2 linked regions of the Macaca mulatta genome follow. The protein of the gene in region 1 purifies or fractionates together with the protein of each later gene. This does not show direct contact. Links are inferred from orthologs where the notes say so. Each region holds a gene or a part of one and is shown on either strand. Other genes may lie near its edges. The genes, in order: PSTPIP1 and WAS.

Region 1 (4,339 bases):
TGCAATTGGGAAACGAAGGCCTCATGTGTGGGAGCCTTGAGGTTGGCTTTGAGGGGTGGGAGGATTTGCCAAGGTAAGGAAGATCAAGGAAAGCTTGCCAGAGGGGAGGCTGGGAACAGAGCAGGTGGGAGTGGGAAAGGTGCCTCTGGGGAGAGGGAAGAGGCCTGGCCGGAGCGGAAGCCTCTGGGAGGTGATGGGAAGGACACCTAGAGAGGCAGGGCAGGGAGCCCAGCTGTGAAATTTTCTGCCAATAAGAGGGCAGGAGACTTCTGTTAACAGAGGGTCTCTACACTGCTCCAGACCTAGAAGCATCATCCCATCTGATGGATGGAGAAACTGAGCTCAGGGAGGCTGAGCCAGTGCTATCAGAGGTGGTGGTGCCATTGGGAGGGGAGGTGCAGCCTGCCTCACTCTATGGCCTACAAAGTTCAAGGGGATTTTTACACTGTTAGTTATCTTCAGCTGCAAGTAACAAAAAACCTGACTGGGGTGCCTTACAGATTAAAGGTTAGCTCAAGTCCAAGGTTTCTGGAGGTGAGGGCCTTCTGGGGGCAGTCCCATTGCTCTGCAATTCTCCCCAGAGTGTTTCCTCTTGGGTGGCTATTTCAGAGACTGGGTGTGCACCTCTCTCTAAACCCTGGGCATGCATAATGGGCACTTGGGAGCTCAGCTATTTCATCTGCAGCAACTCTCATCTACTTACCACCCCGTCAGCTGTAAGGCAGACATCAGTGAGGGTGGTGATCTGTGGACAATCCCTGACTCATCCCATTTTGCCAGCCTGCCCTGGGCTCAGGACTTCCTGCTGCATCTTCTGCTGAGGGGGCAGGGCCTGGCTCCTCAGGGCTGGGGTAGGGGTTCTAGTCCAGGGCTCTTCCTCAGGTGGTACCACACAGTGCCCCCAGCACCTGCACACCAAACTGGAAATTCCAGAAATATTCTTGACACCGTCTCCTTTCCAAAGACTGGGTGTGGCAGATGAGGAAGCTGAGGCTCAGCGAGTTGGAGAGTCTATTAAGGTCCCTCAGCCCTTGAAGGGTAGGGTCAAAATGAAAAAAAACTGGGCCTCAGGCTGGGTTTCCAAACACCCTACTCTGTACCTTGATAATACTGTTTCTCTCTCCGTCTATTCCCATTCACTGAGCCGGAAGTCTCCATCTTCAGAGGGGGGTTTTCTGCCCCAAACAGTGTCTAATCAGGAGACTTGCGGCAGTGGCGGTGGTGGGGGGTGGGGGGCAGTGCCGGGGCCTCAGGCTGTTCTCCCTCATCTTGCTGCCTGCTCACCTCACCTCTGTGTGCTCACAGCCCCCCAGAGCACAGCTGTGTCTGCCCCCAGACTGTGGGACCCTTGAGGGCAGGACCTGGTTCGGGTCCCGGAGCAGCCGGGTTTTGATGCATGACAGATGCCCTAGGCCTGGGTAAGCCCCTCAAGAATGGTTTGCTTGTGCGGGGTAGAGAGCCTGGCATCTCTGGGCCCAGCCTGGAAGGGCGCTGGGCTGGCTGGCCAGTGACACACCTGGGGTTCCTGGGCCCCTCCTGGCCACACTGTCGGTGGGCCTCAAGCTCCCTTAGCATATGACCTCTGGAATAGTGAGCCCGCGCCTCTGGAGGGGCAAGCAGAGGCAAGAGCAGGATGGCAGGTGGCAGGCGGGGCTGCACAGGGGAGCACAGCAACTCCACTTCCTGTGGGCGAGGGCCCCGCGCCCGCCCGGGGGGAGGTTGCACAAACCTTCCTGCGCAGGCCTCGGGCTGCCTGCCTGCCTGGCCTGAACTCCAGCCTGCCTCTTCCACTGGCCACTGCCTCCCACACAGGGCTGGCATCCCTGTTCCCTGCTCTGGGTCCCAGACTGTGTCCTCCATCACCGCAGGGTCGGCGAGGGGCTGGGCTGGACACCAGGGCCCGCCCTCCCATCACTGAGCTCCACTCCTTCCTCATTTTGCTGCCGATTCTAGCCCCAAACAAAACAGGTTGAGCCTTTTCCTCCCCTCGGCAGCTCCTCTCTGGCTCATGGCTGCCTTCTGAGTGCTGCAGACGGCGCCGGGCGGGAAGGGGGGCCTGGGCCAGCCCTGCCAGGACTGGGACGGTGCTGCTGGCGCCTGGCCCTCCATCAGGCCAGCCTGTGGCAGGAGAGCAAGCTTTGCCGCGGCAGACGCCTGAGGATGATGCCCCAGCTGCAGTTCAAAGATGCATTTTGGGTGAGTGAGGATGGTTGGGGGCACTGAACAAGTGGAGCGGGCAGAGCTAGGCTGAAATCTCCATGCAGGTGATGGGGTGCGGCTCTGAGAGGGGAGCTTTCTCATAAAATAGTGGTTGATTCTTGGTCTTAATAGTCATGGAGGTGACCCGGGCCCCCACCCTTCTGGATTGGAAGGCAAGTGGACTCCATGAATGAGGGTCCTCCTTTCTGCTGCCCCAGCTGTATTCTCCTCTGGGAGACCTCTCCCCACAGCAGGAGCTCCTCAGCAGAGGGTAACACATGGGTGGGGGCTTGAGGAGGATGTGTGGGGCAGCAAAGGAGGGGTCACAGATTTAGAGACCAGACAAACTTGGGTTCAGGTCTTGGCTCTGTTACTTATAGGCTGGGCAAGTCATTTCTGTCTCTGAACCTCAGTCTCTCCATCTATATAATGGGGATAAATAAAAATCAACACACCAACTAAAGCATTGGATCAGCAAGGGGATCCAGTGCACTAAAGACCCCAGCCCCTTGCCTCACTCCAAATGGTAATTCTCTTTCCCTCACCCAGCCCCTTGTCCCTTGCAGACCTTAGGGATCCTTCAAGGAGGCAGCCAGGCGGGCAATTGCTTGCTTACTTTCTTAAATTCAACACAGGCTTAAATCAAGTCATTTCCCCCATGAAATAAGGGCGCCCAGCCAGTGGTAGAGGTAAAGTGACTTGGCCCGGGCCACGTGGCCTGCAGCCCAGCTTGGACCCCCGGATCATCTCAGCATTTTTCCAGCTGTCCTTCAACTCCCCCTCTGCCCCTCAGCTCCAGCTGTGCCCAGGGCTCTGGGGAAAAGCTGAGACCTCTCTGGTTGGAGCTGGGGAATATGGCTGTCCTGGGGTGCTGCCTCCAACCCCGAAGAGGACTCTCTGGCCCTCGGCTCAGCCGGCTGAGCCCCAGCCAACTGCCCTGCCCTCCCTGGGCCCTTTCCTGGGGCTGCAGCCAGGAGGATGAGAGCCACGGAGCCAGGCCTTCCTTCCCTTCCGGCCAGCTCCACTTGGGGCCTGTGGCCAGCGTGTGAATGTTCTGCTTCCTCTGCACTGACTGCACAGTAGGCAAAGGACCCCACATGGGGAGGGCACCCTGTGCCTTTCTGGGCCTCAGTTTCCCCATCTCTACAAAGACAGGGTGGGCGCAGCCCAGAGAATCGAATGGAGGCAGAGCTGCCTCAGCCCATCCGGAGGACCAGGCACCAGGATGCTCAGGGCCCAGGCTGGCAGCTGGAGCCCTGGGTGGTGGGGGTTGTGAGTCACCACCTTGCTGCCCTGCCTTGGTGTGCAAAGTTGGGGGAAGGGGTAGGGCCTGGAAACCCAGTCCACTCTAGCCCAGGGCAGGCCAGGACCCCTTGACTATCTTATCACCGAGACCTCTGTCCAGGCCCAGAGCCTAGTGCAGAGCTGGGCAAGGAGCAGCCCCTATGGCAGGATCTGGGCACAGGTAGGGGTGGCGTATAAGGGATCAGGGTGTGGCAGCAGCAGCAGAAGCAAGCAGCCAGCGCCTGTGGAGCTTCCTGAGCGGCATCCTGCCCACACTCTGAGCTCGTCGCACCTCTGGGCTTCCTGGTCTCCAAGTGCCTGCTCTCCTCTGTGGCTGGCTTCCTGGGTCTGGGGTGGGCATATAGTTTCCCTAGGGAAGGCCAGAGCAGGAAGGGGAGAGAAGTAGCCAGTGGGAACCTTTCACACTGAGTCTGGGCCGACGCCCCGAAAGGTCACTGTACGCATCAAGGCATCACCTGCCCCAGGGCTCTGGATTCTAATACCTCTTCCTGATGCTCAGCCCATCCCAGTGCATAACAACTAACATTTGCTGAGCACAAAAGATGTGCCAGGCGCTGTTCCCAAGATGAATGCATATTCACTCATTCAATCCTTCAAACAGATGCTACTGTTCTCTCTCTTATTCAGATGAGGAAATTGAGGCACAGAGACATTAAGAGACTTGCGCAAGGTCACACTGCTGGGATTAAACCCTGGCAGGCTGGCTCCAGCACCTGTGTTGTCGCAGGATCCCTCTATCTTTCATATCACTGGATCTTTTGGCTTCGGGGTAAGAGGAAATCCTCTTATCTCCCAGAGGGGTAAGAAGATCAGACAAGGTGGCTAGAACAATATT
Region 2 (2,883 bases), on another chromosome or scaffold:
CCCACAGGCCCTCCAGTGGGTCCGCTCTCCCTGGGGCTGGCGACAGTGGACATCCAGAACCCTGACATCACGAGTTCACGATACCGTGGGCTCCCAGCACCTGGACCTAGCCCAGCTGATAAGAAACGCTCAGGGAAGAAGAAGATCAGCAAAGCTGATATTGGTGCACCCAGTGGATTCAAGTGAGAACCAGTCCCCAGTGGGCCCACAGATTCCTGGGGGCAGAGGGGCACATGAACAAGTGGACAGCTGAGACGATGGAAGGAAGGGCAGATGGCTGGGTGGCTGAGTGGGTAAATGAGTGGATGGATGGGTAGGTGCAGGGCTGGGTCTAGGGAGAGGTAAATAAGGCACCAAGGGTACAAAATTTAAGGAGGCACTCACTCTCAGAGGCATGCAACTGTAATTCCTGACTCTGAGAGTGAGTGACTCACTTAAATTTTGCACCCTAGGCACCTCACTTGCCTCAGCCTGGGCCCACTCTGGGTGGGCTGTTAGGGGAGCAGGTGGGTGGGCAGGTGAATGAATGGATAGATAGATGAGGCAGATGATGGATGAGGGGGGCTGGTGGGTAGGTGGGTGAGTGGATGGGTGGATGGATGGATAAATAAATGGATGAATGAATGGGTTGAAGAATGAATGGGTAAGTGGTTGGACGGACAGGTTGATGGGTGGATGGGTTGATGGGAGGTGCATGGTAGATGGATGGGTGAGTGGATGAGTGTGTGGACAGATTGATATGCAGGCTGATTGGCTCACAGACAAGGTGGATGGGGATGGTACAGGTGGACAGATATGTGGATGAATGGACAGTTCAATGGATAAGTGAACAGAAGTGTGTGGTTGCATGGGTAGAAAATTGTGTGAATGGATAGATGGAAAGGTGGGCACATGGGTAGGTGGATGGGCGGATGGACAAGTGTGTGTGAGGACAGATTGGTGGACAAATGGGTGAACAGACATACGTGGGCAGACAGTTGCAGAGACAGATGTATGGACAGATCAGTAATCCAACAGATGAATGTGAATGAATAGGTGGACAAATGCATGGGTGAATAGATGGGGAAAGAGGGATGGGTGAATGGATCAGCACCACAAACTATGAAGCCCTTCTAATTCCATAACTGCTGCCCATACTCATTCATTCATTCAGTCTCATTCATTAATTCTGGCCCCTCAGAGTCTCTCTGGGCAGGAGAGGGCAAGAGGGCTTCACTACGAAAGGAGGGAAGGAAGGGCAGTGGGGATTCACTGGAGTCTCTTCACCTCTCCCAGGCATGTCACCCATGTGGGGTGGGACCCCCAGAATGGATTTGACGTGAGTAACTTCAGAGTCTCTCGGACTCCACTAAACTTCCACCCACCCTTCCAAAGACCACTGCTGAGACCCCACGCCCAGACCGTGCCCTTCCCACACCCCTCTCAGATCCCTTGCTGGGATGAACCCAACGACAATCCGTGTCGCTGCTCTCCTCACCTTATTCCTCTACTCCCGCCCCTGGCCTTTTTCCTCCTGGGCAGGTGAACAACCTCGACCCAGATCTACGGAGTCTGTTCTCCAGGGCAGGAATCAGCGAGGCCCAGCTCACCGATGCCGAGACCTCTAAACTTATCTACGACTTCATTGAGGACCAGGGTGGGCTGGAGGCTGTGCGGCAGGAGATGAGGCGCCAGGGTGAGCCCCTGCTTCCATACGTTCCCTTCTCCAGCCCTAGCAGCTCATAGCTAAGAGATTCACTAAGTCACTCAGTCCTTATGGGAGCACCTATACTGCTTCAGTCAGGAGTTGGTCAGTGGGGGTACCCATTTTACAAATGAGCAAAACTGAGGCTCAGAAGAAATCAATGAAAGTTACAGCTATGTGTTATACTCCCTCCACAGAGCCACTTCCGCCGCCCCCACCGCCATCTCGAGGAGGGAACCAGCCCCCTCGGCCCCCTATTGTGGGGGGTAACAAGGGTCGTTCTGGTCCACTGCCCCCTGTACCTTTGGGGGTTGCCCCACCCCCACCAACGCCCCGGGGACCCCCACCCCCAGGCCGAGGGGGCCCTCTACCACCACCCCCTCCAGCTACTGGACGTTCTGGACCACCACCCCCACCACCCCCTGGAGCTGGTGGGCCACCCATGCCACCACCACCACCACCACCACCGCCACCGCCACCCAGCTCCGGGAATGGACCAGCCCCTCCCCTACTCCCTCCTGCTCTGGTGCCTGCCGGGGGCCTGGCCCCTGGTGGGGGTCGGGGAGCGCTTTTGGATCAAATCCGGCAGGGAATTCAGCTGAACAAGGTGAGGACAGGTAGGATGGAAGATTGGGGGTCTGGAACTCTGGGGTACCCATGTAAGTCAGGATACTGGAGGGCTGAGGCCAGGACGGAGGAGAGTGCCAGGCCTTGGGGATTCAGTGATAGGGTGGAAAGGTTGGTGGGAAGCCTTGAAGGGTACTGGAGTGTGTGGGAGGGAAAATATTGATGGAGGGGCGGGGAGAAATGCTCCTTTCCCAGGCCCTGAGCCCTCTGTGCTGACCCCTGCCTGCTGCAGACCCCTGGGGCCCCAGAGAGCTCAGCGCTGCAGCCCCCACCTCAGAGCTCAGAGGGACTGGTGGGGGCCCTGATGCACGTGATGCAGAAGAGGAGCAGAGCCATCCACTCCTCCGGTGAGCTGATCCTGCCAGGGCCTCAAACCTGGCTCCCAGGGCTAGCACTGGCCTCAGAACAATCCCAGCAGTCACCACCAATAGTGACATCAGCCCCATCTGTTGACAGCATTAACATGAATCTTGTGTCAGCCTCCTTTTTGACAAAGTTAACATTAAGTCATTATGTGACAATAACATAATTAACTCCAACTTTGACAATAATATTAACATTAATGCCAGGGT

What was found.
Region 2: the proteins of PSTPIP1 (region 1) and WAS purify together in Homo sapiens (affinity purification with western blotting; 3 studies listed by BioGRID and IntAct, with this or other methods). This does not show direct contact. The link is inferred for Macaca mulatta from reciprocal best matches to the Homo sapiens genes PSTPIP1 and WAS.

The regions. Positions count from the first base shown.
Region 1 is NC_133412.1:55,136,242-55,140,580, forward strand, and holds the start of PSTPIP1 (proline-serine-threonine phosphatase-interacting protein 1), read left to right. Parts: upstream 1-1,392; coding exon 1,393-1,418; intron 1,419-1,684; exon of another isoform or gene 1,685-1,994; coding exon 1,995-2,196; intron 2,197-4,339. UniProt on the Homo sapiens protein: Involved in regulation of the actin cytoskeleton. May regulate WAS actin-bundling activity. Bridges the interaction between ABL1 and PTPN18 leading to ABL1 dephosphorylation.
Region 2 is NC_133426.1:48,763,002-48,765,884, forward strand, and holds part of WAS (actin nucleation-promoting factor WAS), read left to right. Parts: intron 1-7; coding exon 8-182; intron 183-1,275; coding exon 1,276-1,318; intron 1,319-1,521; coding exon 1,522-1,675; intron 1,676-1,881; coding exon 1,882-2,291; coding exon of another isoform or gene 2,292-2,301; intron 2,302-2,543; coding exon 2,544-2,658; intron 2,659-2,883. UniProt on the Homo sapiens protein: Effector protein for Rho-type GTPases that regulates actin filament reorganization via its interaction with the Arp2/3 complex. Important for efficient actin polymerization. Possible regulator of lymphocyte and platelet function.